Rattus norvegicus: one gene and its partners. The protein of the gene in region 2 interacts with the protein of the main gene of each other region in a biochemical or structural test. Links are inferred from orthologs where the notes say so. Each region holds a gene or a part of one and is shown on either strand. Other genes may lie near its edges.

Region 1 (8,313 bases), on a different chromosome or scaffold from region 2:
CTCCTGCAGCCCACGGTTCCGAGCAGCGAGGCCGGACTCTGTGATGTGTTTTATGAAGATCTGACTGCCTAGCTTCACTCCAAACTCTGGAAGGTAGAGGAGGGAAACTGAGGCAGGGCTCCTCGGCTGGGAGGCCAAGATCATTCGAGCTGGCTTTGAAGTAATTTGCAATCCTCCTGCTTCAGCCACCAATCTAGGCGAGTGTTCCACTTCTGATCACGACCCCAGTCCCTCATGGGGGGAATTCTAGGCAGGGCGCCACCCTGACCACGCCCCCAGTCCTTTCACTGGGGATTCTAGGGAGGGGGAGACACACATTCCACTCCTGACCACACCCCCTGCCTGACTCACCTTCGCTGTTTCTTCGTTTCACCAGCACGGACTTTAGCGGTCTCATTAGCACATCCTGCTTAGGCAAGCGCTTGTAGCCAGATACCAGGTCCAGACCATTGGCCTCAGAACCTCCACAAGAGCTCCGGCGCCCATGGCTGCCCATCCTGACGCGGCGACCAGCCCTGGACCGGCGAGAACGCTCACCCCAAGATCGACCTGAGCCACTGGAGGAGTCCCCCTCATAGCCCCGGCCATGGTCAGCTTCCTCCTGGTCTGAGAGCTGGTGGCCAGAAGCTGGGCTAGCCTTGGTGGCAGGCAGTTGGACCCTTCGGGGACGCTTCACTGTCTGTCAGTCAGAAGGAGTTATGTCAGAAGAGGCAGGAAGAGGGGAGAGATCACCCCACCCACAGAAAAACCCCAGGGGATTCAGCGCCTCTCTGGCTTCCAACACCAAAGGGCCAGTATGTGACTTCAGAGGCAGGCGTCCGGACAGGAGCACAACTATGGACCACACATCCAGCACAGCAGCCAAACCAGGAGGTCCTACAGTCTGATTCCGCTGGGAAGTGAAACTATCCCAGAATGCTCAGTAGTTCCAACTATACAGGGGTTGAGATCCCCACTGCGGGATCAAAAATTAAATATCGGGGTTGGAGAGATAGCACAGTCATTAAGATCACAGGCTGCTTTTTCAGAGGTCCTAAATTCGATTCCCAGCACCCACGTGTGGCTCCCAACTGTCGGTAACTCCCGACATTAGATAATCTCTTTTGGAGCGCAGATAGATGTAGACAAAACGCCCACATACATAAAATAGATCATTAAAGAAAAAATAGGGGTTGGGGATTTAGCTCAGCGGTAGAGCACTTGCCTAGCAAGCGCAAGGCCCTGGGTTCGGTCCCCAGCTCCGGAAAAAAAAAAAAAAAAAAGGAAAGAAAAAATAAAGATCAACCAGGAATATGGAGTGAGACTAAGAAAAATAAAAAGAGGGAAAGAGGGGTTGGGGATTTAGCTCAGCGGTAGAGCACTTGCCTAGCAAGCGCAAGGCCCTGGGTTCGGTCCCCAGCTCCGAAAAAAAGAAAAAAAAAAAAAGAAAAAGAAAAAGAAAAAGAGAGCTGGAGGGGTTGGGGATTTAGCTCAGTGGTAGAGCGCTTGCCTAGGAAGCGCAAGGCCCTGGGGTTCGGTCCCCAGCTCCGAAAAAAAGAACCAAAAAAAAAAAAAAAAAAGAGCTGGACCCACCTACAATAGCTCAGTGAGGGTGTGGGGCGTGGTCAGGGCGGAGCCCGCATTAAAACCCCCTGCGAGGATGTGGGAAGGAGGCCAGAGTAGAGCCAGGCTTAGAATATCCCAGTGAGGGTGTGGGGGCGTGGTCAAGAGTGGAGCCCCGCCTAGAATCCCCCCAGTGAGGGTGTGGGGGCGTGGTCAGGGTGGAGCACAGGCTAAGTGTCCTGCGTTCCAGCCCTAGCACCCCCAGAAAACAAAATTCTAAAAGAAGTGTGTAGTTCCATCTCCAATATCACAGGATCACCTGCCTTATTGGATTAGAACTCAGTTTCCCCAGGGGCTATAGCGATGGCTCAGAGGTTAGGAGCACTGACTGCTCTTCCAGAGGTCCTGAGTTTAAATCCCAGCAACCACATCACTTATAACCATTTGTAATGGGATCCGATGCCCTCTTCCGGTGTGTCTGTGTACTTATAATAAAGGTTTCCCTGCCTTTGTTCACTTACAATGTTGGCTGTTTTGGTGCAGGTCTTAAGGATCTGGATGGCAAAAGCAGATGTGACATTCTCCACAGAGACACCATTCACCATGACGATGTGGTCCCCAGTCCTGAGGGAGTGGCTCCAGTGAGAGACTCAGGACTGCACCCCTCCCCTCCCGCCATCAGGTGATATTTATCTCTTGGTCCCTCTGTCTCTCTGCATGTCTCTCCCCCCTCTATGTCTGTCTCTGAGTGTCTCTCCCCCTTTATCTCTCTGTATGTCTCTCACACACCCCCCCCCCCCGTCTCTCTGCATGTCTCTCCCACCTCTGTCTGTCTCTTTCTCCCCCTCTATTTCTTATCACCCTCTTGTTACTAGGACCTGTTTGTTTCCACCCAGATTCCAGGAGCCTCAATCTCCAGGTCTCAGAAAACTGCTCTGCGCTCAAAGAACAGACAGAGATTGTCTGTTTCAGTTCTCTGCCATTCTGCCCTCAGGCACTGCCCAACCTCTGGGACTAGGAAGTGTTAGGGACATGAGGCCAAGGAAGTCAGGCTCTGCTGACAGAGCTGACTGTGCCAGGTGCCTTCTCCCCTCCCCCACTGTCCCTCCTCCCACCCGCCATCTCCGAGCCTCACTGAAGCCTGCCCTCAGCGGGGCCTCCAGGTACCACATCAGACACGACCACAGGTCCACCAGCTCGGTCATGACCTCCAGACACAGCTATGCCAAAGCCTCGGCGGGGGTCCTGAGGGACACAGGTAACAGGCAAGGGGTTACACTTCCCAGACCCAGGGCCTCTTTTGGAGGGGCAGGTCTCAGCTCACCTTGTACAGTGTGGCTGTGTGCTGTTCCCAGATGGTCAACTCTTCCATGTCTGCCACCTGGTAGGGACAGGGACAGGCTCATGGGGTAGGAGGAGGCCATGGCATCAACTGCCTGCTCCACCCTCCACAGTGCATCCTCAGTAGCTTCGGGGCGCGATGGCTCCCACCTTCCTCAGGATCACAGTCGCAGTCTTCCCTAGAGTCCTCTCTGTCCTGTTTACCCCATTATGACCCCTTGCTATCCTTGCTCCAGCACAAGGGCCTCATGGCTTCTCCCCAACATCCCAGCCTCCCTTCTGCCCAGATTTTCCAGGTCTTCAGAGCCTTCTCTCAGTCCTGGGAAGGATGGTCGGTTACCCCCCTGAGGGCTGAACCCTCAGGACTTCTTAATGTCATGTGACCCCACCTGCCAGGCCCCCTCTCTGCTGAGCTGTTCCCCTCCCCCCAGCTCTGATGACTGGGTTTTGGTTTACTTTTGGGTGGTTGGGGATCTTGCTCAGCCTAAGTTAGCTATAAACTCATGGCAATCCCCCTGCCTCAGCCTCCTCACATGGGGACCTCCACAAACCCTGGCAAAGATCTTCAGGTGGCACTCTCAAAGGTTATCTGCACTCGACTGTGAAATTTTTATTTATTTCTTGGCTTTCCCAAGTGTGCCTGGGCTCCTTAGGGGGAGGGGAGGCAGGTGGCCAGGCTTGTCCCAGCCTGCCCAGCTTGTCCCAGCTGGTGTAGGCTGGTCACAGGCTTTGTCTAAAACCCTCTGGGACTCCCTGTGCCTTAAGGATTGATGTGACCCCTGGGTCCCCACCCCTGCCCACTCCTGCATTTCTCAGTTGTGCTCCGCAGGCCCTGACTTTCTCTTGGCTGTGGAAGTCCGGACCTCTCCATCACTCAACCCTGGCGACTTGCTGTCAGCTTTAGTCCTTGGCAAACTCCTATTCAGCCTTTAGAGCCCCTAGGCTTAGGTGCCATCCAACGTACACATCTGGCGCCCCCTTCCCTTGGAATCTGGGGTATCACAGTCTCATCTCGTTTCCTCCGTAGAGTTCCCTGTGTCTGAGCCCTCCGGGTAGTCTGGGATGGGGGTTCTAGGGACCTTATCCTGTCCCCAGTGAGGAGCTTTGGGAGAGCTTGAAAACCACCAGAGGGCGGGTTTAAAATGTTAGATCCAAGCCCCTCAGCCCCGCCCCTCCAGGTGAGCGCCTGGCCCCGCCTCTGCCACCTGCGAACTGGAAGGGACCGGGTAAGATAAGCCATGCGCCCGGGGGCACTGGCTCCCCACCCGCCCCTCCTCCCCTTAGGCCAGGCGCACGGGATGTAGGGAGGGGTTGTAGACAGGTCTGTCGGCGGGGCCGGGGGAAGGTCATTCCTCTTCTTCCTAAACTGGCAGTAAACCTCGAAGACGTAAAGCTTGGAGTGTGACCCAGCAGACAGGTCTCAGTTTACTCTTCCTGTGTAGGAGTTTGGGCTCCACGCCAGAAGAACAAAATTCCTCCTGGTCCCCAGAACTGGCTACAGTCATCCGACCCGCCAGGCTCCTTGACCTCTTTGCACACAGTAGGTGCTCAATAAATGCTAGCGGCCAAGAAACGAAACAAAACACAGCTACTCATTTTCAAGATCACACACGGGCGGCCTCAGTGTCTCAGTGGGAGTGGGGTGGGGCAACTGAGGAAGCTCCAAGAGGTGGCTCTTGGGGCTAATTCACAGATTTATCTCGCCATGTACCCGTAGGCTAGCCACCGCGCCTCTCCGGGCCTCAGTTTTCCCGCCTGTTAGGCAGGTGGACAGGGTTTTGAAAGCCTGGGTCCCATTCTCATCCGACCACTACCGGTTCCCCGCGCCCGGCACAACTCGCCTGGAATCTCACCGCCATGGTGTACAACAGGCGTCCTGGAAACGGTAGGGCAGCCCCCACCTTGGACCTGGAGGCGCCTGGAAACAACCGACCCCCACTTTGGGCCGGAGGTGGTGGCGGCGGGGTCCGGGCCGCGCTCCCGCCTTTCTCCGGCTCTGCCAGCGGCTCCGGGCTGCACCTGCTCTTCCTCCTTCAAGTCGGAGGCCGCCCCGCCCCAGTCCGGCACGCCTCTGGGAAGCGGCCGCCGGCCCTGCCGCGATCCGATCCGGACAAGCGCGATCCTGTCCTGGTTTCCCGCAAAGCCGGGCTGAGCCCGGCAGCCCGGGTAGCGGACCGCATGGGCGAGGCTGCCGGGAAAACCCGGAGCGGTCACGGCCAGGAGGAACGGAGTACCGGGTCTGAGACGTTTCTCTTCCCACGTACCAACACACATCGAGGTTCGCCCGGGCGGCCCGCGGGTTAGAAGCTTTGCGAGGGATCGGGAGGAGGCGAAGGTGGTGAGAAGGCAAAGAGGCAAATGTGTGGTGAGCAGGGAGGGGCGCTGCAGGGAGGGTTCTGAAGGTGGGTTAAGAGTTTGCCCAGACGAGAACGATCTGTGTCTGCATTGGAAGGTTTGCTATGAAAGTGTAAGAACCTGAGTTCAAATCCCTGCACCCAGAGGTAGCTGCTCAAGCTTCTGTGTGGCCCGCCCCAGAGATCCGATATCCCTGGCAGCCTCCGTGGGAACTGCATCCACATGGCTCACAGCCATCCGCAGAACACCAAACACAAGAAACAAGAGCAAACGAGGTGAGGGGTAGGGGGAGAGATGGCTCAGAGGTTAAGAGCACTGACTGCTCTTCCAGAGGTCCTGAGTTCAATTCCCAGAGACCACATGGTGGCTCACAACCATCTGTAATGGGGTCCGATGCCCTCTTCTGGTGTAATAAATAAATGTTAAAATAAAAAAAAAGTAAACGCGTCCTCCCGCCCCCCCCCCCAAAAAAAAGCGGTTTTCTAGCCTTAATCCCAGCACTCGGGAGGCAGAAGTAGGAGGATCTCTGAGTTTGGGGCAAGCCCCAGTCTGCATAGTGAGGTCTGGGCCAGCCTGGGCTACAGTGAGACCCTTCCTCAAAAACATAACCAGTAGTGTTCCTGGCCTTTCCCGGGTCAAGCAGGTTCATTTTTTTTTTTTATTTTTATTTCTTTTTCTTTTCTTTTTTTCAGAGCTGGGGACCGAACCCAGGGCCTTGCGCTTGCTAGGCAAGCGCTCTACCACTGAGCTAAATCCCCAACCCCGGGTCAAGCAGGTTCATATATCAAACTCAGACTGCTTCCCTCTAAGGGCCTGCCATTGAGGGTTAGCTGTAGAAAGGTCCAGTCAGACTAGCTTAGGCTTGGGCACAAGGTGGGAGGAAGTCACCTCAATAGGCCGGACTAGTACTGGCTCCACCCATACATTCCTCACTAGTAAATATTGATCTGCAGCCTAACCCAAGGTCAAAGGGCTTAGTAGCAGCCTCCAGTTGTCACCTCACAGCTAGAGGGAGTGAGGGAGTGTCTAAATTAGAGTTCTGGAATGGGCATGCTGGAGCGGTTCTGAAGGCTAATCAAGAGTTGGCCAAGAAGGGGCTGGGGATTTAGCTCAGTGGTAGAGCGCTTGCCTAGCACTTGCCCTGGGTTCGGTCCCCAGCTCCGGAAAAAAAAAAAAAAAAAAAAAAAAAGAAAAGAAAAAGAGTTGGCCAAGACAATCTAGTCAAAGTCTTTGCACTGTCTTGGTGCTGCCTTTAGCCCCGGCATTTGGAAGGGAGAGACAGGTGGATGCTTGTTAGTTCAAGGTGCACAGAGTGAGTTCCGGGACAGCCAGGGCTACACAGTGAACACTTGTGCACCTGGGGGCCCACGGCGACAGTCCTGTCCCCACATTTCCTCCCACTCACCAACACACTTCGTGCTAAGAGGAAAAACGTGTGTTCTCAGACCCTTAGGTTGTGGGTTCAATCTCAGGTCTTTTGCCTGTTCTCTGTGTGCCCTCGGGGAGTTACTACCTACTCCGTGGGTAGTATTTCGTTATAGGTAACGAAATCCTAGGTTCTGCATGGCAGAGTGGGTAGGTGGACTAAAAAGGGCACCGAAGTGGTTTGTCTATTTGTAAGCTACTGTGCCTCAGTTTCCCATCTGGAAGTTGCACCTGATTCCAGAGATTAAAGGAGACCACCTAGGTCAGGTTCTGCTGTTGTTCTGAGGCTGGGCCTCACCTGTAGCCTAAGCTGTCCTGGAACTCACAATCCTCCTGCCTCAACCTCCATAGTACCTGGGACCAATCCTGAGGACTACCTTGTTCAGTGTCCTGTGAAACAGTTGTTAGGGAGGGGGGCTTGCTGTCCTGAGTGCGGTCCCCAGACCGCACAGAATAGAAAGCACCAATCCGCATGAGTTCTGACCTCCTCACGCTACGGCATATGCACGTATGCACACACGAATAAATACTTGTTTAGAGATTATGAATTAAAGAAACTCTCCAACCGCCCCTAGGGGTGGGCGAGCACAGGCGGTGAAGCAGATGCATCCCAGACAGGCGTGCATCCCAGGGCTGCAGTACCGATGCCAGCCGGGAAAGGGCAATGTCTGCAGGCCAGAAAGGGCGTATAGAATGGGAAACTACGACTCTGCTTGCCTATTCTCATACATCTGGGGAAACTGAGGCATGCGCGAAGGGCAGGGCTTGAGGTTGTGGGATGGGGTGGAGTCGGGGGTCACTGAAGGGTGTGATGTCCCCTCAGGTGTGGCAGGACAGGTCTGACCGGAATTCAGGAATGCTCCAACTCCAATGGTGTACACTGCTGGGTCTTCAAGGAGGGAGGAGCAGGCCCTGCTCTGAAGAGAAGGGACAAAAAAGGCTGCGCCAGCGGGCAAAGGAGAGGTAGGGATCTAGGTCCGGACAGTAAGGTGAGGGAGCCAGAGGGCCAGGAAGATTCAGTGGAGGAAGGAGGCGTGGCCTGTGCAAAGGCCGTGGGGCACAATGGAGCTCACACTGACCCGGGGGAGGAGGAAGCCAGGGAGAATTCATTGAACTGCCCACCATGAAGGAGAGAAGCAACGGAAACCTGTCCCCTGTGTCCACGGTCCGTGAGCATTCATGGACATGCACCACATGCACTACTAATAAAAGACTTTGTAACTAGCTAGGAGTGGTGGCGCTCAGGAGGGGAGCGCTGGGGCAGGAGGATTGCTATCAGTTCTAGAGGAACCCATACTGCACAATGAGGTCCAGGCCTCTGAGCTGTGGATGCTCATCACCACAAAGTACACAGTAGAGCAAAGTAAAGAACAGGGGACGCCCAGGAGATAGGCCGACCAAGACCACAAAGGCTCCTTGCCTCAGTTTCCCTTTCTGCAAAACACGGCTTCCAATCTGACTCAGAATGGCTAGCCTGGGCTTCCCTGAGCCAGTCTCCAGCACTTGGGACTGCAATACCAGCTTCAGCCAGTAGGGAACACGTGGGAACCAGGAGTGGCATCTGGTGTTCCTTAACCACCCCCTCCCAGGAAGTCTTCAAACTGCTCCTGAAGTCTTTTTCACAGCTTTCTGTTGTTTGTTTGTTTGTTT
Region 2 (8,050 bases):
CATATCTTATCACTGAAACACTCTCCTGAGTGAATTCCTAACAGTAATCTCTCTGTAAATGGTTTCATTTTGCAGAAGTTAAACTGCTCTGTGTATACGTGCATCATTCTGCACATGACAGCCTCCCCCCCCCACCCCAAGCAACAACAGCAACAAGTCTCAACAATTTCCACACTTTACATCTCTGGCACCTTTTTAATAGATGCTGTAATCACGGTCCCCCACTAAAAGGACCTGAATGGTCAGAATCCACTAACGACACCTACCGCTTCAATGCTTTCCTGTTTCCATCACGAGTCTCCAGGAATTATGGTCATACCATATTTTGAAATTCCAAACAAGCTAGTGTACTAACAAGCAAGGCCGTCTTAGGTTTCGAACACTCTACCCACCAATGTCTATTCTCCTTGATTCAAACACATGCAGGCTGAAGTAGAAGGATTGCTAAGAGGGTCAGGCTAACCCAAATCACACTGAGAGTGCTTGGGCTACAGAGGAAGACTCTATATATCTCAACCCTTCAAAGAATAAAAGAAAAAGGGGTTGGGGATTTAGCTCAGTGGTAGAGCGCTTGCCTAGGAAGCGCAAGGCCCTGGGTTCGGTCCCCAGCTCCGAAAAAAAGAACCAAAAAAAAAAAAAAAAAAAAGAATAAAAGAAAAATGAGAGAGAGATGTGAGAGAGAGAGAGATGTGAGAGAGAGAGAGAGAGAGAGAACGAGAACAAACTTGTCGCTGCTGAATTAACTATTTTGACATCTATTCTATACAACACACAGCCATTCTGTATAACATTATCTAACTGATGTCTTATCGCCTGTAGTTCATAAATCCAAAAAACTAAATTAAAACACGAGAGGGGACAATGCTATGGAAAAACATGAAAACAGAGGAACAATAGAAGCCATAGGGGAGGAAACACCTTATGACCTCTGGGGCAAATAACTAATAAGAAAACATTTCAACGTGAACTCAAGCTGGGTGCACCCTAACTAACCCTCATCATTCATTTACCTCATCTCCCTTTCCTTCCAAAGTTAGTAAAAGTTTGAGAGGAAGAAAAAAAAAAGATTTCAGAAAAGGATCTTTTAAAATAACTAATTGTTGGGAGGACTAAATAAAATTTGCCCTAGCACACAACACACTCTCAACAAAGATTATTACTGTTAGCATCTCTTTTCAATCAAAATTACATGACATTTTGAAACTGCAAAGAAGTTAATGTCGTTTGTGGTTTTGCTATGTTATCAATGCTGAAAAGACTGAACAATATAACCTTTCATCAGTGAAATTAGTGTTCAACAAGTGATCAAGAAAAGGCATTATATATCATTTTGTTTTGAGTCAGAGTCTTACCATGTAGCCCAGGTTGGTACAGAACTAGCTACACAGACCAGCCTGGCCTGGAACTCAGATATCCTCCTGTCTCTGCCTTCCCAGTGCCAGAGATGTGTGCCACCGTGCCCAGCCTATAAATTGGGATTTTAAGCCAGTTTAAAGCCAGCATGGTGGTATATAATTGTACCCAACATTCTATGGCAAGAGGAGGGTGAATTTGAGGCTACTGTTTCAAACACAAGTCTTTACCTCAGTATCTTCCCTCAGAAATAGAATGTGAGCCACAAATGCAATTTTTAAATTTCTGCAAGGGCTGGAGAGATGGCTGACCAGTTAAGTGTGAACACTGTTCTTACAGAAGATCCAGATTCGGTTCCCAGAGCCCATGTCAAGGCTCCGTTCTGGTATCCCTGCACAGGCATTTGCACATAACCACACATACATGTAATTTAAAAATAATAAAAAGGGCCAGGCAGTGGTGATGGAGGCCTTTTAATCTCAGAGGAGGCAGAGGCAGGCGCATCTCTGAGTTCCAGGACAGCCAGGGCTATATGGAAAAACCCTATTTTAAAAATCAAAACATAAGGGGTTGGGGATTTAGCTCAGTGGTAGAGCGCTTGCCTAGCAAGCGCAAGGCCCTGGATTGGGTCCTCAGCTCCGAAAAAAAAAAAAAAATCAAAACCTAAAAAACAACAACAATAATGTTTCTGATAGCATCATATAAAGGAAAAAAATTAGGGTTGGAGAGATAGTTCAGTAGTTAAGAGTACTAGCTGTTGTTCCAGAGAACTGGTATTCACATCTTTGATTCCCTGCACTCAGGAGGCAGAGACAGGAAGACCCACAAGGCAACTTACAACTGTCTATAACTCCAGTTCCAGTGGACCTTACACACATGTGTACAAAACACCAATGCACATAAAACAGAAAAACAAATTAAAAACATAAAAAATAATTTTAAAAAAGACAAATTTAACTTTAATATGTAACTTACTTAATCCAATATATACAAATCATCACTTAAATATGCAAATAATGTGAAATAGAATAGCTTAAACTTTTTCACACTGTCTTCAGAGTCTCGTGTGCATTCCACACTTACGGTCATTCCAAAGAGCCCATTTCACTTGTGCCGGTGCTTCGGCAACCAAGTACCACTGACCTATTAACCTAGACTTTTCCAGAAAGAGTTTGGCAATGTTTTTAGCAAAGACTTTTGCTTCTTGGCTCAGTTTCTGACTATTCAAATACGAATGCTTACAGGCTTGAGTTCTTCCTGATTCCATCTGAGCAGAGGCAAGTGGGGGAACAATTGCTTGCTGCGACAGACAAGACAAATCCTAGAACTGTTTCCTTTCAGCCTTTTCCAATCTCTGGCAGATCATTTCCAAACTGAGGACCAGCACAGACCACTCTCCAGGTCGGAAGTAGATCAGCACCTATCCTTAAACTCTACTAGGTCCTCAGCAGTTTCCATTCAGCTCACTAAAAACGTATCGTCTGTTGGTAGAGCAAGGGCTTAGCATGTGCAAGGCCCTGGCTTTCCGACCTCAGCACCAATAAACACACACAAACGAATGCAAGCACTACATTCCCTTCCATTTGCAACAGAATACGCAGGGAGCTCCAAAAGGCATCCAAGTCTACATAAAATCCCAGTGTAAGAAAAAAAATTAAGGGGCTGAAGAGATGGCTCAGTGGTTAAGGGCACTGACTGCCCTTCCAGAGGTCCTGAGTTCAAATCCCCAGCAACCACATGGTGGCTCACAACCATCTATAATGAGATCTGATGCCCTCTTCTGGTGTGTCTGAAGACAGCATCGGTGTGCTTATATATAATAAATCTTTAACAAAAAAAGAAAAAAATTAAGTATCATTGGTTATGTGATTTCAAATATTAAAGGAGACTAGCTTGTTTTCTCCAAGAATTTAATGCTCGCACCAATACCAGAAGAGACTTCAAGGAACTAACCCCTTTTGTGACTTCCCCCAAACTAATGCGATTTTGTTAAAACTTTAACAGAGCAAGCAAGTTCAGACTGCTTGGCTGTTTGATGTACAAATGATTATTAAACCCAGCTGTAAGGACAGGGAAATGCTGGGCTGTCTCAAAAGTTCAAGGTTTTAAAATCGAACTCATTTTAAGAAAACATAGGCATTTTTATATTTAAAATTACAAAGTGGAAGAAAGGAGTCGTGTGACTTGTACTTGTTTACTTTTTGTCATCAGTGAAATGGGTTTTATGGTTGCTGCTAGATCCTTTTTTCCTTCTTTTAATTCTTTGACAATTTCAGAGAGATACTTCAGGTCATTTCCACATGCACACAGACCCACCCCTGTCCCCCCCCTCTTATCCCACCGTCACAGCAAGTCCTCCTCTAATTTTCCTGTCAACTGTTTTGCTTTATTCCCTTTTCGAAAATTCTCTTGTTTCCCCTACAGTGAATTTATGTTCACTCCATACAAGCTCAATGGCTGCAGGGGATCTCAGGGGACAGGACACATCTAGTCAGAGTGTGTGTCTGTCTGTGTGTGTGTGTGTGTGTGTGTGTGTGTGTTACTAGATTAGATCCCCCTCACCACCAGACAATAATAATAGGTGGAATTTATTGAGACTAGGTTCAATTCGAGTGACAGCATACAACTCAATTTTAAATCAAATCCTTCTTCTGATGACAAGTCCACTATACACCACCAGTAATTGCATCTAAATTAGTGTGGGTACCTCCACATCTGCATTTATAAACGTTCAAAGTATCTTAAAAACTTCATTAATTCTTACAAAAGCCGTTAGGCCCTTAGAACAGCAAAAGGTCATGACTTCACCTCCTATTTTCTAATTCTAAGCTAATTCGCTTAGCTTCTCCTTGAAACAGTGAATTCGAAGTTAGGGGAAGGCTAGTAGACCTGGAATGTGGTCTAGCTGTCTCAAAGGAACCGAGATTATTCTAGGTAAACTTCTTCACTGAAAACACAATCGCTGGACACTACGGTGAGCCCACAGGTCAGATGCAAGTTAGAGGCAATCTAGAGAAATCAGGCCCAGCAAGGTGTGGCCTCTGAACTTCGGAGACAAACAAGTCACTTGAGGAATTCGAATCAGAAGTGGTAAGAGCCGACAGGAGGCAAAGTACAAGTCCAGGGAAGATTCCAGGGAGGGGTGGGGCATTCGAAAGGTGGGAAAGATGTGGAAATGCTCTCCAGAACTTGATTCCAGGGAGGAATCCAGTAACTTTCCCAGACTGAGAGACACCTCCCTAGCTAAGCAGAAAGGCCGGAGGGGCGCAAGGCCCACTCGAGGCCACGTCGGTCACGTCGGTCCCTCCGCTCCCTCCGCTCCCTCCCACCAACCGCGCAGAGGCTCCGCCCCGCTCCGGGAGGCCGCGGGAGCTAGATCCCCGAGCACGCGCGATCGCTGAGCTCGCAGGCCGGGTGGGCCTGGAAGTTCGAGCGGGGCTGATTGGCCTGGTCGCCGGCCGCCGCCAAGGCCTGCGAGCTGCCCAGCGCACCCTCCGCGGGCTCGGGACACGGCTTCCGCGCGGCCCCCGCACAGTGCGCCGCGAGCGTTACCTGATCAGGCGACAGCCGGGTGGGAGCCCCGAGGCTGCGATCACGGCCTCCTCACCTGGCGGAAGTACAGCTGCTGCCCTCACCTGGACGGAAGTGTGGCGGCCTCCTCACCTGGGCGTCTCTCCACCTCGCCAGAGGCTGGGCGGGGCGAGCGGGGCTCTAGCCCCTGGGCGTCTGCGCGCCTGTAAAAGTTCCGGGGGTGAGTGGGGCTACCAATCCTGGTGAGGCGGCCTGAGGCCTTGCGGCCAGGTGCGGAGTTGTGAGCCACCGGCGCTGACCCAAAACCGAGACCCCAAACAGACAAGTTCACTTAGCCCCTAGCCTAGCCCGAGGCCCCTCTGTTCCAGCCTTCTTGCGTCCCTTATGTTTTCCAGATGCGCTGACTCAACGTAAAATATCCTAAATGTCAATCTGTGTCCCCATCGTCCTAAGGGTAATTATGAGTGTCTTTTTTTTTTCTTATTTAGAATGTTGATGATAAGCATTTACATTATCTAATACAGACTACTCAAGGCTAAAGAGAATCAATCATCAGATATCTTACTGAATAAGTGCACTATTAAGCTCTGTGACTGACGGGGATGAGAGGTAAAATGGTATCCTCGAAAGATGAGTACATACAAGCAACAGCAACATGAGGACGTTCGCCGGTTATGCGTTTGATACTTTATGGCTGTGTGCTAATTTCAGGGAAATAAAATTTTTAGGCCTTGTAAAAAGGTGTGTAACCCCCCCCCCCACACACACACACACATAAGGAATAAAATGGAAATGTCCGTTTTCACCTATCCTGTTCAACATACTATTGGAAACTTAAGCCGAAGCAAACAAAGGGTCATGCTGGGTGTTGGTGCACACCTCTAATCCCTGTGCTCTGGAGTTTCAAGTAGTATTGCGATTCCCTGTCTCAAAAAACACTAAGAAATAAAGGGTACACTAATAAGCAAGCAAGTAAAATGTCGTTTGTGGATGTTAAATATTAAATATAAATACTAAAGATTAAAGATAGAAAGTCAAAGATGACTGGGCAAGATGACTCAGGGGATAGATAAAGGTAGGTACTGCCCAATCCTGATCACCGGTGTTCAAGTTCTAGCCCAGGAAGCCATATAGTGAAAAGTTCAAACCAACTACAGCAAGTTGTTCTTTGAGCTCCAAATTCCCCCAGTGCCCCATGCCCTCTCTCTCTCTCTCTCTCTCTCTCTCTCACACACACACACACACACACACACACACACACACACACACACACACACACGAGAATTGCTGTGAGTTCAAAATCAGACTAAGGTACATAGTGAGTTCAGGCCAGCCTGGACTACTGAAGTACATATCAGGACTTACCTTGTCTCAAAAAGAAATGCAAAATAGATGAATAAAATTTGGAACCCAATAGCTTTTGATAACAAATAATGGGCTTGGTAAGAATGAAATCAAGAAAGTAACCCCATTCACAATAGCAAAAACAGAGAAAACATACCCCGGAATCTTAGCTTACTTTCCCATGTGTGCTGCCTTGTCTTAGGGCAGCTTGGCACAAGCTGAAAGGGGGGAACCCCACTTGAGAGAATGCCTCCATAAGATCCAGCTATTAGAGCATTTTCTTAATTAGTGATTGATGAGGGAGGGCTCCACCCACTGTGACTGGTGGTCCTGGGTTCCATAAAAAAGCAGGCTGAGCAAATCAGTAAGCAACACCTCTCCATGGCTTCTGCATCAACTCCTGCCTTCAGGTTCTTGACCTGTTTGAGTTCCTATCATGGTTTCCTTTAGTGTTGAACATCTTCAATATGGAAGTGTAAGCCAATTAAACCCTTTCCTTCCCAGCTTGCTTTTTGGCCATGGTGTTTTATCTCAGCAATAGAAACCCACATTAAGAAAAAACTGGTACCGGAAATGGGGTGTTGCTGCGACAGCCCTGACAATGTTGCTTCAGGAGAGATTTGTGGAAGGACTTTAGAAATTGGTGTAAGAAAAGCCACTGAGTGTTCAGTTTGTGGTGAGCTGTTCTGCAGGATCTTAAAAGACAGGAATGTTGAGGACAAGGCAGAACGAGGAGGCCTGGATTGTGAAGTTTCAGGGAGGTTTAAAGACTACCAGGAGCCATTTGTTACTTTGAACTAAGGTTCTGGTTAGCTGGGGGTGAAGAAGAATTGGCTGTGTTTAACAAGATAACCAGAATTAGTAAAGTGAAACCTTTGCCTTTCGAGGATAATTAATGCAGGTTAGCTGGAGCTGAGGAATTAGCAGTAATAAAGAAGAGACCAGCATCATTAAGGTTAAAACTGTTCGGGAAGTGTTTTCTCAATGCCAAGGAGATGACCTTGGTGAAGGTGCACCCACAGTGGCATTGAAGGTCCAGGATTGAGGACTAGTCGTGCAGAGAACTTGAGCCTGGGCACTGTGAAAAGAACCTAGCAGAGGTTATTAGTTGAAAGTGCAGCCCAGTTGTAGCTGAAGACCCCAGCAGTGTAGAGATGCCAGTCCCATGGGATGGCCACTAGAACAGCAGCAGCAGCGGAGTGGAGTCAGCTGGAGCCTACAAGACAAGATGTGTGTGCTGCAGAGGGCAGAGCTGGAGAAGTGACCCAAAGCCTGGAAAGGGACCAGCAGATCATGAGTGGATTCCAGGCACTGGACACTGAATTATTTATACAGTTGGAGTTTGGCTTGGCTTTGTGTGCATTGCGACTCTGCCCTGGTTCTGCCTTGTTGAAGCAAGGGGGTATTTATCATATTTTTGATTGGACGGGAGCTTACAGTTGAGAGATTAAATTTAAAGAAATTTTAGGTTTTAAGAGAGACTTGGATTTTTAAAGAGATTGAATTTGTCAAGACAGAGGGGGGGATTTTTAAATTGGTAAAATATTTTATACTGTGGGGTTAATGTGTGATCTTGAGGATGAGCATGAAAGGAAAGGTTGGGGCCTAACAGTGATGTGTGTCTCATTGACAAAGTCTGCATTACTGCTGTGATAAAATACTCTGACACTAGCAACTTAGGAGGAAGATCTTGGTGAGCTCAAGATGGTTCCAGGCCAGCCAGAGCTACATAGTGAGACCCTGCAAGAGCTCTCTTCTCTCTTCTTCTCTCTTCTCTCCTCTCCCCTCTCCCCTCTCTCCCCTCTCCCCTCCTCCTCCTCCT
Region 3 (7,559 bases), on a different chromosome or scaffold from region 2:
TGAGTGGGAGAGGTTGGGGATGAGGAGGAAAGGAAAGTGGAGAAGTGATGTAATTATATTTTAACAAAATACAGTGTCACAGACATGGTTAATACTCGGCGTAGATTGAATAATGAGGCGACATAAAAGTGAACGGTATGCTATTAAAAAGAGATAGCAAAACTGCTCAGGACACACCTCATGGTGGCGATCCCTCGTCCTCTGAGGCATCGTGGACTGCTGATTGGCCCTGAGGTGCCGAGTCACACTTAACCCACCAGCACATGTGCCTGCAAACTAGAAATGCAACGACGAAGGCACTTGTGAAACTTTTCACACGGGCTAAAGAGAACGCCTTCATAATTGAAAACTTCACAGCAGTGCTCCCTAATAGTCTGAATAAGCTCGTGTAGCTGTGAAAGAGAAAGGACCTTTCTGCTCTGGTCACACAGCGGGCAGTTATTTTATCCCCTGAGACTTATTAGCACATACTGTAATAAAGAGGGACTGTGTGAGGGCAGAAATACCATTAAAATCTGGCTTGCCCAGGATATACAGAATGGTCATGGCCCATAGTATGGGGCATGTACAGTGCCAGGTACTTATGGGGAGCCTCCTGCTTGGTGAGCCTGTCTTTAAAGTTTGGAGAGAAAAAGGAAATCCCCTGCCTGTCTATGCTTGTCTTTGCAAACTTTGATTAAAATAACTGTACTAGAAGTCTACTGTCTAACTCATTTCTTGTCTTATAAGAAGGGATCTTTGTAAGTATTTTTTTTTAATTATACTTTCATGTTGAGAGTGATGAGGACTCCTCAGGGGGTCTTTAAGCTGCAGATTTTCAATCTGGCTGAGCTTTATTAAAAGGCTGCCTTCCTGTTTACTGCTGGGTAACTTTCAGGAACCCTAATGTAACTTTTGCAGTATTTGCTAACTCCCTTCTCCACATGCAGCTTTATTTAGAATGTTATAAAACTGGCTACAAATGTAAAGAGAGAAGAAAGAAATGTAAGCGCTCCTGGGGGAGGTACAAGAATACGTGGATGTATTTCTGCTCTAAATATTGTTTTATAACACTCATGCTTTGCTATCAAGTTCTATGCTCTGCCTTCCTCACTCTGCTGAGAGAGAAAGCAAGAGAATCCCCATCGAAAGAGTTCATTGAAGACAGAACTTTATTTAAATGCTATCAAGTTAAGGGGAAAGTGCCATTTTTCCCCTCTGCAAGTATGTATTTCTAGCATTTTTGTAACCCAATTTCAGCCTAGGTTGATGTAACAAAACTTTAGCAACCCTGGTCCCTGAAAGGAGGTGTTTATCTCCTTTCAAAGATGTAGCTAAACACAATTGTGTGATTTTTTTTTTCTGTCACATTATTGCCAGTTTTGAGGAGCAAGCCACCTGTCTGGTCCAAGGTCACTGAGAACACATTGAATGACTTGGACACATGGTCAGGAAGTAGGAACAGTTCTTCAGTCTGATACCACTCCAGTGCAGCCATCTAACAGCTCAGAAGTAGATAATCCATGGCTCTGACTGGAATGGCTTCCACAAGACCTTCAGTGGAAAAAATTAAGCGAGTCCAGATGAAAGCTCTGGTTTAGAATGGATCTTTACCCAAAACTATGACAAAGAGTAGTTTCTTAGTCTGACCTGTAATCCAGAGTTACATGTGCCCAGCTAGTAAGTTTTCTTGCTTACAATCTTCCACCATTGTCTATGGTGTGCAGAAAAGCTTGCATTATTTTGTGTACTCCCTACACATGTCATTACGGTTAGACATTGTGCAATGTCTCCCTTTGATGCCAGTCTAATATAAGGCAGAAGATAATTCATAACTTAGTGGCTTCCAGGTGTAAATGGAAAATGTTGCTCGTCAAAACAACATTCTTATTCTGAACTGCTTTGCCATGGTTTAAATGGAAACAAGGCTCCCAGTCTCTAAGATTTTGTGCTTACAAAGTATATTGTCCATTGACTCCACATCTGTGTGTTAGACAAATGATACCATTCTATAAGGAAATGAAGCATTGTGGGGTTGTTAGCCAGCCTGCGACAGAATATCTGTCATTTCTCCTTAACTTTGCAAAAGTAGTTAATAAGAAAGGGGAGGCATGAAGCACAAATGCCTTCTTCATCATTTAAAGGTAAAACGTTTGTGAATAGTCGGTGATTGTCAGGAACATCCATAGGCTATACCTGGGTGCTTCTTTTTAAACCTGATTTATGAGTCTGGTGTTCATGGGGCTTCTGAAGAATGCCTTGTGCACATGCTCAGACCTGTGGCACTAGTGGCCTGTGTTGTGACTTCGTGAGTGGGTTGGAATGATTATATGAACTAAGTCTAATGGAAGCTGAATAACAAGGACAACATCCAGAGAGATCAAAGACACCAACAGAAGTCATTCATAGGGAGCTGATGAATGAATGGCAACAAAATAAAGGGAAGGTGTGGAAGACAGAAGAGGCTATACATGCTTGTGAAAGGCTACCATGTCATTAATGCTTTCTAATTACATTGTTTCTACACTAAGAGTAAACTCAGGTCACTCTGCCTTAGAATCCTCCAATGACTTCTCATTACATTTGGGATAGACTTTGAACTCCTGACTAATGTGTGTGTGTGTGTGTGTGTGTGTGTGTGTGTGTGTGTGTGTGTGTGAGTTTGGGTATGTGTGAATGTGTATGTACACACATTTATGTAATATATACATATATGTACATATACACATACATATATATGCCTTCTGCCAACCTTGTTAAACTTCAATTCGCTTCCTACCATTTGTCATTTATCTATAGAATAGCCAGTTGGCCCACTTTACTCAGAACCCGGGACCTTCTTAGGATGCTAGACTTTTACTTAAAATATGGAGCATCCTTGACAATCTGGCAGGAATGGTCACCCTCTCCTCCAGGCACATAGATCCTGTCATTGCCTGAAACATCTTCCCAAAATGCTTTCTACCTGAGCAAACTGTCAAATCTGTTTTGTAAGAGCATAATTATTTAGTTGTTGAATTTACTGAGAGAAACAGCGGCCCTCCATGTACTACTGATAACTCCGAAGGAAGTGCCCACCTTAGCTGGGCGTCCTCGAGACTTTCCTCTTTAAACCACAGCATGGTTTGTGACCCCAAGGAAAGTTTTCTAATGGTCACGTGAGCAGCTTCCCTTCCTAGTAAAGCCATGGGCCATGGAACATGGCTCTGATCCAGCAGTTCCTTCCCTACCCTGGAGCTCTGTGATCAGTGTGCAAGAGAGATGTGCATATGCTTGTTGCACATTTATGAGCAGATGAGTGTGGCAGAGGAGAGAGTGTACAGTTTAGTATTTTGATGAAAAAGTAAAAGTGGCTTCCAAATATCACTGAAATGATGTGAAAAGACATTTGATACTGCTTAGAAAGGCAGTGTGCTTCTGTCATATACACGTAATAGCAAGGATAGAAATGGCTGTAAGTTAAAATGTAGTGGCATTCCACACAGGTTTGTTTGGGGTGGGTGGGTGAGGGAACACCCTCATAGAAGCTGGGGGAGATATGGGGAAGGGGAAACCAGGAAAGGGGATGGCATTTGAAATGTAAATAAAAAATATCCAATAAAGAAAAACAAAAAACAAAAACAAAAGATTGGTAACTTAACTAGTCAATCTTGAGCATCGGAAGATTAATCCTGTGCGTGTACTAAACACTGTGCCGATCATCATCTTGTCAGTCCTGAAGACCAGAAAGGAGCAAACTGTTCCAACTCCCTGGATAGAAAAGTTGTCCCTCATATTTTACAAAATACAAATATAGTCCCTAAGAGAAGTAAGTCGTTTCCCTAAGATCTCATTCCTTGCAATGTTAATGTCTCCGTATAAAAACTTGCATTAAGGGGGCAAGACGTTCAGTTTAAACAGGAAATGATTTATAATTTAAACATCGTCTAAGCAGGGTGCGCGTGCGCGCACACACACACACACACACACACACACACACACACACACACACACACACACACACACACTATTGTTATACCATGATGCTGGCTTTCAGTTTTTGTTCTTTAGGAAACACATTGGCACTGTCTCTCAAATCTGATCCTGTCCCTGGTGATAATTTAACACAACAAAGATGCGAAAGAGGCCTTTAGAAAATTTGCAGAAACCCAAGAAATAAGAGTTGGGGTTATGGATGGGGATTTAGCTCAGTAGTAGAGCGCTTGCCTAGCAAGCGCAAGGTCCTGGGTTCGGTCCCCAGCTCTGAAAAAGAAAGAAAGAAAGAAGGAAAGAAAGAAAGAAAGAGAAAGAAGAAAAGAAAGAAAGAAAGAAAGAAAGAAAAAAAGAAAAAAAGAAAAAAAGAGTTGGGGTTATCCCCAACTTTATGCACCATGATGCTTTTGTGGTTTTAAAACCTCGTGTTATCATCTTCTATGAATCTATTGCCATGCTCCAAGTTGCCTTCTTAAATTTTGCCCTAGCATCAATGTTCTAGAAGTTGTACCCGTCCCCCAGCCAACCTCTTTTAACTAGGGATAAAATATTGCTTATCTAGCCATGATCATCTCTGAAAAAGTCACTTGCTTATTTCTAGTAACTTGTTCTTTCTGAAGCCTAAAGACTGTAGTCTAAAACTGGCGACTGGTAATGAATATGTATTTTAAGTCATCGAATTACAAATAACGAACATTAATATGTATGACTTCAGAATCCAAGTACCCAGTGATAATGATTACATATTCAATTCACTGATACCTATTTAACTGATACATTAATAACTTTCCGGCTGATTTTGGATTTCATAACCACAGTACCAGCCATCCTCCACTCTCTGTATCTTCCTAGCAACCATCCCAGTGGCAAGACCAGAAATGTCACTAGAGTCCGTTTTCCTTTGGACACCTTGTTCACTTTGATCCCTCTCCAAAAATACTAAAATGTATTTCATCTCCCATCACTCTCCTCTGACACTCTAGACATGGTTTTTACATGTCTTAAATGTTTCCCACCAGGTACTTTGCAGGCAACCAGAGCCTTGATGGTAATTGGCATCCTGCTGGGGCTGATCGCAATCTTTGTGTCCACCATTGGCATGAAGTGCATGAGGTGCTTAGAAGATGATGAAGTGCAAAAGATGTGGATGGCTGTCATCGGGGGCATAATATTTGTAATTTCAGGTAAGAGAGGCTCCTCCTTCTCCCTTGTCTGCTTTTCTCAAGTGTGGTTTGAAATCTAGCTTTCTGATTTTTAGTTTCTTTGGTTTGTATTTGAATCACCGAATCTGAAAATTTCTCAAGTATTTTAATATCTGAAGACATGAGCCTTACAGTCAGTTGGCTTTCGTCTTCTCAGTTAGAACCAATGGAAATTAGACCTCTGTACACTTCTGTCAAGGACAACCATGAAGGATTCAGGTGCCTACTAGATTCTTGGCCCAGTCTATTCAGACTAAGAAAGATTTTTTTTTATACTTTGCAAAAGAGTCTGGATCAATTTGATGTGATTCAGAAAATGCTATTTGGTTGTAATGGTGCCTGGCTGTGATCCTAGCATAAGAAAGGTGAAGACAGGGAATGTAGAGTTCAAGGCCAGCCTCAAGAAAATATACATAACATGTGGATGTTATTGGTTTGGGATTGGAGCTAGTGGAGAAAGCTGGGGGGAGGTAACATTGTAGATGGACAGAGTAATTTCACAATAAACACTATGTACCCATGGACCAGAGAAAAGGTACGTCAGTGGGGTACTGATGGGATATTAACAAGGTAGGATGTAAAGTCAGCTGAGCTAAGGAAGAAAACAGTACAGAAGGATTGGAAAGCTTCAGACGAAATAAGCCAGGTGTCGCGCAGAAAACACATATTACAAAAATGGCATCAAAGGCTATAGTCTCTTACAACACCCATCCCTGTGCTTTCCATAAGTGCTGTAGACATACATGTGTCCCAGTTCAAGCTGGGATGGTTTCAGAAATCTAGGTGACCGGTTCAAGAGCACGTGCATGATCAATTTGCACGGTCAACCTGGATGATCTTACATACTGTCAAGTACTATAAAAGAAGTTATTTGTTTTCTTTTTAAATTTGTTTCAGATTTGACAGTTTTCCACGCATTTTTTATATAAATTATATATAATTGCTCGGATACTGTTTTTCTGGTAATAACACTTTACATCCACTCTCTGGCATTTTTTATTGTTTTTTTGGGGGGAGGTAGTTTTAAGATAGGGTTTCTCTGTATAGCTCTGGATGTCCTAGAACTCAGTCTGTATTCCAGGCTTGCTTTGAACTTACACAGAACAGCTCGTCTCTGTCTCCCAAGTGCTGGGATTAAAAGTGTGGGGCACCACTGCCTGCCTTCTTTCTAGCATTACTTAGTCACCATATTGTACAAGAAAGCTCTTGATCTTAATCTTACATTCTCCTTGAAAGTTTGAATCTTTGGACAAACATCTCTTTGGATAAAAATAAACGTTATAATTTAGGCATCAGAGAGATGTTGACTGAGTGATGACGACCAACTCATTTCCTTTCATTTATTGAATACAAAAATACCATGCGCGATTGAGTTCGGCTACATAAGTCAACCCAGAGTGTCACCTCAGCAGATGATCCCAGTAGTAAGGATTGCCTTAGACCCGGGGAAAGAGGAATCTGAATGCTCTGCGCCCTATGCTAGTTAGCCAGCTCTGGTTTTGCTGCTAGAGAGGAAAGTAAAATCTGATTTTGAGTTTGTCAAGAAGAATGTAGGAAGATTTTCATCTTACATTTGGTAAGCAGTTCTCTGCTGATATAAACATTTATTTTTTTTCAAAAGTAGTTTCATACACTAAACTACAGTCCTGCAAACCACTGGCCAAGATTTTGAATAAGATGGATCTATCCGGCTCCTTCTGAGTAACAGTTTTTGTGCCAGTGGCCTTGGACTATAAATAAATAAGATGTCATAAACAGTATAATCTAGGCCCAACTTCAGTCTAATGTCTTTGTAACTCCTTGCAGAATGGTTGGCATAAATCATATCTAAGTCAAATTGATTTCCATAATAATAAAATAAAATGTCAGCACTGTTGATGAGATTCAATTCTTATAGAATACAATTAGGTTTAATAGTCCTTGTTTTTGTGCTTAGTTTTCCTCAGTGATTAATGGTCTTGCTTTGAATTTCTGCAGGTCTGGCGACATTAGTGGCCACAGCATGGTATGGAAATAGAATTGTTCAAGAATTCTATGACCCCATGACCCCTGTCAATGCCAGGTAATTCTAGTCATGCATAAAATAGTTCATTCTCTGAAAAAAACCAATCCTTTCTGTGTTCTGCAGACTCCTGCCAGTGCCTTAGTTTCTCAGAATTGCTTTCAAGAATTGTATGGAAATTTATGTCAAACTTGCAAACAATTTAAATGACCTGTGACTCATGTTAAAATGAATTGGATAATTGCTTTAACAGCTAGGACCGATGACAAAATGCACTTCAAAGGAGAAATGTTCTAAGCTGGATGCTAGCCAGCAATATATCACAGCTTTTATTTATTCCCCAATATGAACAAAAACGCTAACGCGTTGGCCATGTTCTTCCTGAACTGTATTCTGATGTTTCT
Region 4 (8,143 bases), on a different chromosome or scaffold from region 2:
AACATATGCAACGGATTTAGCAACCAGTCATTGAAACAGAGCCAAAGAATGAACCCAGGGAACGCATGTCTGACATGGGACACAAGAAAAAAGTGAGTCACAGAAGCACACATTGATGCTAAACTGCACAAGTGCAAATATACGCATCTTGATTTGTGTCATGTCTTCCACATGTTAAAACTGTCTGTCACATAATGTACGTCTTTGCTTCAGTGTGCCCTTTGTGCAAGAAGGCCACCCACGGTTAAACAGTTTCTTCCACTCTTCTCCACCTCAGAGGCAGAAAGCCAATTTACCACAGGTGTGTGACCCTAGGTATGCTGGGTAAGGCAAGAAAGTGCTGAGTCACCATGGTTCTACGTTAAATGGCTGAACACTCTGGTTCACATCTGTCTACAATGAATATTAGCCGGGAGACTTTGGAACTAATAAATTCTCTCATTGCTAATGGCAGAATCCACGCTGAAAGCCACGGCCTGTGTCCTGTCTCTCGGCAACATCCGTCCTGCCCTTGACATTTGTGTCTGTGGGATGCTTCTCTCTAGAAAATTCTCTTCCGTCACCCACACTCCTCACAGAAGCCCTTAAAGACAACACTCACTCTACAAAGTAGCCACAGAGGCAAACGAAACCAAAACCCCTTTTGCTAACGGCAAGATAATGCTGCTAAGAGCCTTCTTCCTGGAAATCTGCTCAGCCCACTGTTTCTTCTGCTTCGCTTCTCAGGAAGGGGCAACCATCTCAGACTGGCCAGTCAGTGAACAGATACTAATGTATCTTCTTCTGAGTTTAAACACCATTGCTAAATACTTTCCAACGCTACCCCTCAGAGAGTAAGTTTTAAGGGCTGGGTCTGAAGCCTCCAATGATGCCACACACTTTCAATCTCAGCACACAGAAGGCTGGGGCAGGGAGATCACCAGCCTGAAGCCAGACTAGGCTCCCAGAAAGACCATAAGTCAATGCTTTACACGGACAAGTTCCTATCTCACTGGTTCAAAGGGCTTGCTGTGCAGAACTGACAACCTGAGTTCGATTCCCAGAACCCACAGTTGATAGAAGGAGAGAACTCCAGAAGTTGTCTTCTGACCTCCACTCACAGTGACATGCGCACCCATGTTCACGAAGACCAAATGGTGAGTGAAATAAAAGCTGCAAACAAAAAGCCGGTGTCCTAGAATATGATTTCATTTTTGAACGTGTTAAAAGCTCATAGACAAGGGGTGTCTGTCGTTCAGTGGTACAACATGTGTTTATCATGTTGGAAAACCGAGGTTTGTCCATCAGCACTGCCAAAAATACAAAAAAAAAAAAATCCTGCCCAGCTTCCAGACCCAGGGTACGGCTACACTTAGCACTCCTAACTCGTCAGGCAGGAACACAGCAAATGGTGAAAATGGATCACGGCAACCTACTACCCTCCCCCATTTAACCAGGAGCATAAGAGAAGACCTATGTAGCAAGGAAAGTGGCTCGCAACCCGGCTATACTCCCATCAATAGGAGGGGCGCAGGACTCCAAGAAAGGGATATTCAGACAGGCTTCATCCTTAGCTTGACAAAAGCCAAGATGACATGTAAATGGTGTTTTCATCCTCATGTTTCAGTTGATAGACATCTGAACTATAAATCATGTTAGACCCAGAAGCCTACTTGATTAAGAAATGGAAAGTAAACAAATGACTAGGAGGAGGGATGTGACTTTCTCAAACTCTCCTACAGAGAGAATGTTCAGTTACCGTTTACTAAGAGCTGTCTTTAATCCTTCCTACTAAAGCAGAGACATAAGCCCCAGGCTTCTGGAACCAAAATAACCATAAATGAGGCACTGTGAGAAACAGCCATGCATTCTTTCTGTCAGGCTTTATCGAGTTCACAGGTGACTGACGTGAATCAAAAGAGATATAGGGCACGGGATGGGGAATCAGGGACCTGCCCGGCTCAAGTTCAACTCTGTCACAGGTGACATCAGGCAAGCTGATCTAACTTCCTGGGCCCTGGATTGCTCAAATGAGAGGTTTAGGGATAGAATAAGTAGTGAAGCCCTTTATGATTGCTGCTGCACTGCTCTACCCAGGCTCCAAAGCTCCTAGGGTTCCCCAACTCCTGAAGCCGCAGGACTGCAATGTCATTCCATTTTGGGGATGGCCGTGAGAGAACTAAAAACCCAGAAAGACTTACTAGCCCTACAGATCAAACACTTCTGTAAACTGGGGTAGAGGTAGTTTTACAACTAACAAGTATTTACAAGACAGTTCAGAGCCAGGTTTGATGGGGCAGACCTTTAATCCCAGCACTGGGAAACAGAGGCAGGCGGATCTCTGTGAGTTGGAGGGCAGCATGGTCTACATAAGTGAGTTTCAAGACAGCCTGGCCTATATAGTGTGACCCTGTCTCACAAACTCACACACACACACACAAACAAACGAAACCCTGTCAAAGCAAACCCGTTCTAGAGACTAACACAATTCCCCTGTGGGTGTGTCTATAAATTTATTTACAGATGTGTGTGCTTGTCTCTACATGTTTATTGCCATAGGTGACATAGTTAAAACTAAAGGTTCCGTGATAAAAATAAAATAAAAGTTTGTTTCGCCCCCCAACAAGGCCTCATATATGTTGGACAAGAGCATTAACCCAATTTTCCTAACTAGGAAATTCTTGACCTAACAGACATAAAATCTTTACTATTGAGTTTGAAGTGTCTGGTGAAATCAGACCTAACTACCTCCCAGCTCTTCTGGCAAACCTCATTATAATACGGATTATAGCTCTGCTAGCCCAGGGACAGGGCTTTTAATGTTCTCTGGGAGATAAAGAATTAAGCAGCAACCCAGAAAAGAAGTTGTCTAAAAATGGATGATTTAGTCAAAGCAATTCCATTGTCTCTAGGACTGTGTCCTCGATCACCGGGCACCAAAACCCCACTATGGCATCAAATAAATTGTATGTGGTTAAAGAGACAAAATGTTCTTCTGGCTGCTATGGGAAGCAGAAAAAGGGCTGACTGTGAATCAGCTATGTTTTAGCTCCGTGATGAACATGAATTATGATAATTTAGACATTCTGGTGGTTAAACCAAAAAAGCAAGAAATCAATCCTTTTGAGTTTCAGCAAAAGTTTGTGGCACCAGAACTGGGAGACAGAAACATAGAAGTGACCTTCAATTTATTTCTCGACTTTCCCACCTCCACCAAAATCAATGACATATTTCCCATCCTTCGCTGTCCAATCACAGTAGTTGGGAAGCCTGGAATCATCAACTTGGCTGGTAAGCAGAAAGGTCGACGAAGGAGTCTCGAACGCAATCAGACACCAAACTTCCTTTGCTAGGCATACTTTTCATTGTAAAAGCACCAAGATCTATTTATGATGCTTTTTGATTGACACCCACAAGCATTCCAGCTGACACAGACTTTGCAGATTGTAGGGAAGTCCCTGTGAGCTCTTTAAGTAGCCCCGATGAGCAAAACACTCAGAACTGTACCATAATGAGCACCTCTCAGGCGCTCATAAATTCTTTCATTCCCAGCAATCAAAAAACAGCTGTTAAAATCCAGGACTCTTCCCAGTAGCAGATCTGAAATACCTTCGGGCTGCCCAGAAAAACTTCACAACGGCTTTCTTCTCTTCCTCCCTCCCCCATTCCAGGAGTGCCAGCCTGGCAGGATAAGGATGACCCAGGAAGGGGCTGTGGGTGGAGGGGAGTAGCGGATCTGGTGTAAGCAGAGACGCAAGACTCCCTTCTTTTTCACCACAAAGAAAAAACCAACCCTCTGTGCCAGCCAACCAGGTTTCTCCTTCCCTCCCCCCAGCACACTAACTTCGGTAGTCTGATGAGTCTGGCATTTCCAGAGTTCGCGACCTCAGACACCCTGAGCCCTTTCCTTAAAGATTTTGAGCCAGGAGCTAGCGGCGTCTGGGCTCCTTTACAGGTTAAGACTCTGCCTGCCTTTACCTTTTAACCCGCCAGGACCCTAATCCTGGGGTCAAGTTCAAGATGAAGGTGCCCTCCTCACCTCCCTGAGTTCACTCTGCAGGAAACTCTATATTCAGACCAGTTCCACTACTCCAGGCATAAGGATCTGGGGCTTCCAAGCCAGAGCCGAGGCAGCCTGAAGACTGTCACAGCTCGGCGTCCTCCGCGCTCGGCCGCGGCGCCGCGTTTCTTTTACCTGGCCACAGCCGCATTTCCTCCCGGAGCCTTTACACAATAAGTCAAGTGAGTTTTGGGAACGCCAGTCCTGAGCTCTTGCTTTCTGCAAACACGCTACACAATGCCCAGGGCTTCCTTCCCCGCCAGCCGTTCCGGAAAGCGGCCGCGCCGAGCCCGGGGGACCCCCACACACACCCAAAAGTCTTCCAGGAAGAACCTGAATCCCCATAATGCCTCCAAAGTAACTACTCGTCGCCCAAGGATAAGGGGACTCGCAAACTTGACAGGACCCTTCATTTAGCTGGCACTACTAAAAGAAAAAAGGGAAAGAAAATCCTCAAGGTCTAATCCCAAATCATCACCCCAACAACACCACCACCAGGGAAAGAAATTGGCTTGCATCTGCGAGCCGCAGCCTGCCGGAACGAAGCACACACTTTCAGCTCACGGTGGGCGATGTGATTTTCCCCGCTTAAGTTCGCTCGGGAACTTGGCGACCCGCGCACGGCGACACTCGAGACCCCGCGGTGCCAGGCGCCCCGCCTGCAAGTCCCCTCACTCCTAGCCCCCAGGTGTTGGACGCAGCCCAGGCCCTGACTAACCAAGGGATCGAGGAGGCGGGCAAGGGGCGGCTGGGAAAGTCCTGCGCGCCGCGTGATCCCAGTGTCCCCCTAGACCGGCTCTGCTGCAACCCGCTCCTCCGGGAGCGCAGGAAACGGCCTGCACCGACTCCCGGGCAGCGCCTCGCCCCAGGCCGGGAGCCCCGGCGTGCCCGCGTCGATTCCCAGAAAGCTCCCCCTGGGCCCGCCGGAGAAGGGGGCGTCCCGAAACTTTCCCACCAGGCTCGCTCTCGTTTCCCCGGCTGCTCCCCGGGACCCTTCCTTCCCCGCCGGCTGCGGAATCCCGGAGGCCCGCAGCGGCGCCCGGACAGCGGGAGTTACCTGCCAGGAAAGTTTCCAGCTTTCGGCGCGGTTCCCACCCCGGGGGCCGGGCCTCAGAGCGCGGCGGGCTGGGCACTCGGCGGCTGCGGCTCCTGCGGCTCCCGAGCCGGGCTCCCGCAGCTGCCACCGCGGAGGCAGCGCTCCGGCCCGTCCCCGCGCCTCGCTCGGCCCACACCGGGACCTCATTGGCAGCGCGAGTCCCCGCCCTTGCGCGTGTTCCGGAAGGCACCTTCTCAGTACGCGCCCGCCGGGGCTGCGCCTCGCGCGCCCCTCCCGACCCGAGCTGCCAGGGCTTTGAGACCCGCTGGGGCGCGGCACGCCAACTTTCCGCTCGGCGCCTTCGCCCCTCCTCACCCAGCTTGTTCTCTGCGGGAAGCCGAGCTTCCCAGGAGGAGGTTGCTCCCCTGGGGCCTCGCCTGGTCCTCTGTGGGACAGGATCAGAAGTGTGATTAGACCTCTCCCCCTTTTTTAGCCTGTTTAAAATAGTAAAGTGTCCCGGCCTTGGTCTATGCTGCTCTCTGAAAGCATCCGAGGAGGACATATGGGAGCAATTAGCCAAGCTGAAGTTTCCGCGGATGCCTTAGGGTGGCTTTGTTGGCTTTTCTTCCCCTCGCTTAACTAAACACAAACAAATACACTTTCTTGTTCCAAAATGAGCTGAGAAAGATGAAAAGTGCATCTCGCCCACTGCACCTTTGTTAGGTTGCGGGTGCTCTGGGATTTGACTGTCCAGGGTCGGGGGTCTGCTGTCTCCTCGAACTCTGTGGCTGGCGGTACTGCCTGGGCTAAGTCCACTGACCAGCTTCTAGCTTCCTTGTCTGGAGGAGGAGTCCTGGAGGAAGAACAGACAAAGATGCTATTATTAAGTAGGCTGGCGGCAGTAAATTAAACCCCCTAGTTCCCAAAATGTTTTGTTATTCCCAACAAAACAAAAGTTTGAAAATGGCCCAGAGAACTGGGAGACCTGGGTCCTCCACAACCTCCCAGCAATCCAGGCAGCCAATTTATATGTAGAAGGCTCAGCCCTCTCAATTCCCAAAGCACTTTGGACCCCCCTTTCTTTGCAGAAGGATCAACTGGAAATTCCAACAGGAATTGAACCTAGGCCACCCATCTGTGTAAGGAAAGTGAAGGATACAGAAGTTGCTATAAATGGGTTTATTGGCAACCCCTAACCTTTGCTGTGGCAAACCCGCCTTTAAAGACAACTGTTGTTTTAAAACAACTTTCCCTATAAAAACTTCAACCTCACATAGAGCTTCCCGATATAAAGATAGCTACAGGAGTAGTGATCATCTTTAAAGTCCCTGTGTAAAGCGTCAGGAAGCAAGAGGCCACTCAATCTCTCCATAATAAATGAAAGATGACTGAAATGTGCTGGGTGTTTTTCAGTCGTATATTCCAAGGCCTGATTATCGCTGTAGTTATATTTATGCAGTGAAAGTATCCTAGCCTTTACTCAAGCAAAACATGGCATGAATACCCAAAGAAAGTAAGGGCTTATGGTAAGCCAGGAAGGTTCTAGACATCCCCTGCACCCCCAATGCCTGCTTGTTGGAAGCCAGAATGATGCTTGATTAACTTCTCTTGAAATACAGTGTGTAAAACCGACCGGTCTTTCAACCACAGATAACAAAGCCAGACTACAACCGTGACACAATGACCCAAGCAGAAGGCAAAAATTCAGTCGTCCAGTCTGAAAGACTGGGATGTAAGAGAAACTCCTAAAGACTTAGAACAGGTCTAGTCCTGCTTCTGGCTTGTTTGTAGTAGTTTAAACGGGTAGATAGTGGATGAAATTCATGAATGTTTGCAAAGCCTTCCTGAACTATCCTTACTTATCTTCCCAAACGTTCATAAGAATGCTTAGATTGAGCTTTCAAGGCAATTAGGTGTCTTCCTCTCTACCCTCGAACTTGCCTCAGTAACAGGTAGAGGAAAGCACAGAAAGTGTGCTAACCTCTTGCATCAGCTTTCGTTTGGTTTAAAGGGTTTGGTTTTACAGCTTCACAAGTCAAGGACACTGAAGTAATGCCGCCCCTGCCTGTTTGGGGACGCTTAGCATTCTACACAGGCAGGGAGCTAGCAATCTAAGATGTGTACACAGAAGGGCCCTGTTTCCCCTCCTTCCCGTAGTATTTATATAATCCGAACTACATGTCATGAAGCCCAGTCGGATCTCCTGCTTTAAATGGCTACTTTTACATACAGTATGTGGTAAAGGTGTCTTCAGCTGTGGGTGAGAATGATACGTGTTAGAAAAGTCAAGGCCAAACATAAATAGAGTAAAAAAAAAAATTATGGGTGAAAAAATTATGGGGGAGGGGCTCGTGAGGATCTGTTATATGAGGACAACCGGAGACTTTTCCAAGCATCTTAATATGTAAGGTATTAGCTGAGCACAGGTTCAAACAATGAGTTTTTGTACTTAACATCTGCTTTTCCCTTAATAAAATAAAATAAAATAAAAAGGTGCTTTTAAGTTGGTTGTTCGACAACCTTGTATTTCCGGAGGCTCAAGGAAAGAATCATTACTTGCTTTTCTTGGGTCTCTCTCCACAAACCCAGTTTTCAAAGTTCAATAATTCTTTGTATGTTTATAACAACTGGGGGCAGGGGTGGAGGAGACGGGGGAGGGAGGGGGAGAAGAAGAGAGAGACAGAGAGAGAGACAGACAGACAGACAGAGAGAGAGAGAGAACAGTAGATTGCTACACACATTCCTCAAATATACATGTGTTATACTGGCTTGCATTTTTAAAGTTTCTGTCACTTTGCCAACAATGTAGCTTTTTCTCAGCAGACCGAAAGAAAACAGCAAGTATTAAACTGGTTATTTTACCGTACAATTTACTGCCCAGGGCAATGGACTGAGGAAGGCATGAGAAAAGAATGTGCTTTGTGAGTGTTAGTGTACGCCCCCTTGGTCAGATTCCTAAGTACTTCTATTTTAAATCAATCCTAAGTTAGGATCCTAGCTAGTGTTTATTGTGGTGTGTGTAGTGTAAAACAGACGGTAAGAAGTAAAAAAAAAGTTTAAGTTTTAAA

What was found.
Region 1: the proteins of Patj (region 2) and Tjp3 form a complex in vitro, tested with the Homo sapiens proteins (2 studies listed by BioGRID and IntAct, with this or other methods). The link is inferred for Rattus norvegicus from reciprocal best matches to the Homo sapiens genes PATJ and TJP3.
Region 3: the proteins of Patj (region 2) and Cldn1 form a complex in vitro, tested with the Homo sapiens proteins (2 studies listed by BioGRID and IntAct, with this or other methods). The link is inferred for Rattus norvegicus from reciprocal best matches to the Homo sapiens genes PATJ and CLDN1.
Region 4: the proteins of Patj (region 2) and Tanc1 interact in a test that uses a peptide from one of them, tested with the Homo sapiens proteins (2 studies listed by IntAct, with this or other methods). The link is inferred for Rattus norvegicus from reciprocal best matches to the Homo sapiens genes PATJ and TANC1.

The regions. Positions count from the first base shown.
Region 1 is NC_086025.1:9,080,997-9,089,309, reverse strand, and holds the start of Tjp3 (tight junction protein ZO-3), read right to left. Parts: upstream 4,887-8,313; 5' UTR 4,743-4,886; coding exon 4,737-4,742; coding exon of another isoform or gene 4,725-4,736; intron 2,924-4,724; coding exon 2,867-2,923; intron 2,788-2,866; coding exon 2,678-2,787; intron 2,167-2,677; coding exon 2,064-2,166; intron 680-2,063; coding exon 352-679; intron 87-351; coding exon 1-86. UniProt on the Homo sapiens protein: TJP1, TJP2, and TJP3 are closely related scaffolding proteins that link tight junction (TJ) transmembrane proteins such as claudins, junctional adhesion molecules, and occludin to the actin cytoskeleton.
Region 2 is NC_086023.1:118,174,553-118,182,602, reverse strand, and holds the start of Patj (inaD-like protein), read right to left. Parts: upstream 4,981-8,050; 5' UTR 4,906-4,980; intron 1-4,905.
Region 3 is NC_086029.1:87,930,144-87,937,702, forward strand, and holds part of Cldn1 (claudin-1), read left to right. Parts: intron 1-4,970; coding exon 4,971-5,135; intron 5,136-7,130; coding exon 7,131-7,215; intron 7,216-7,559.
Region 4 is NC_086021.1:64,505,193-64,513,335, reverse strand, and holds the start of Tanc1 (protein TANC1), read right to left. Parts: upstream 5,300-8,143; 5' UTR 5,097-5,299; intron 1-5,096. UniProt on the Homo sapiens protein: May be a scaffold component in the postsynaptic density.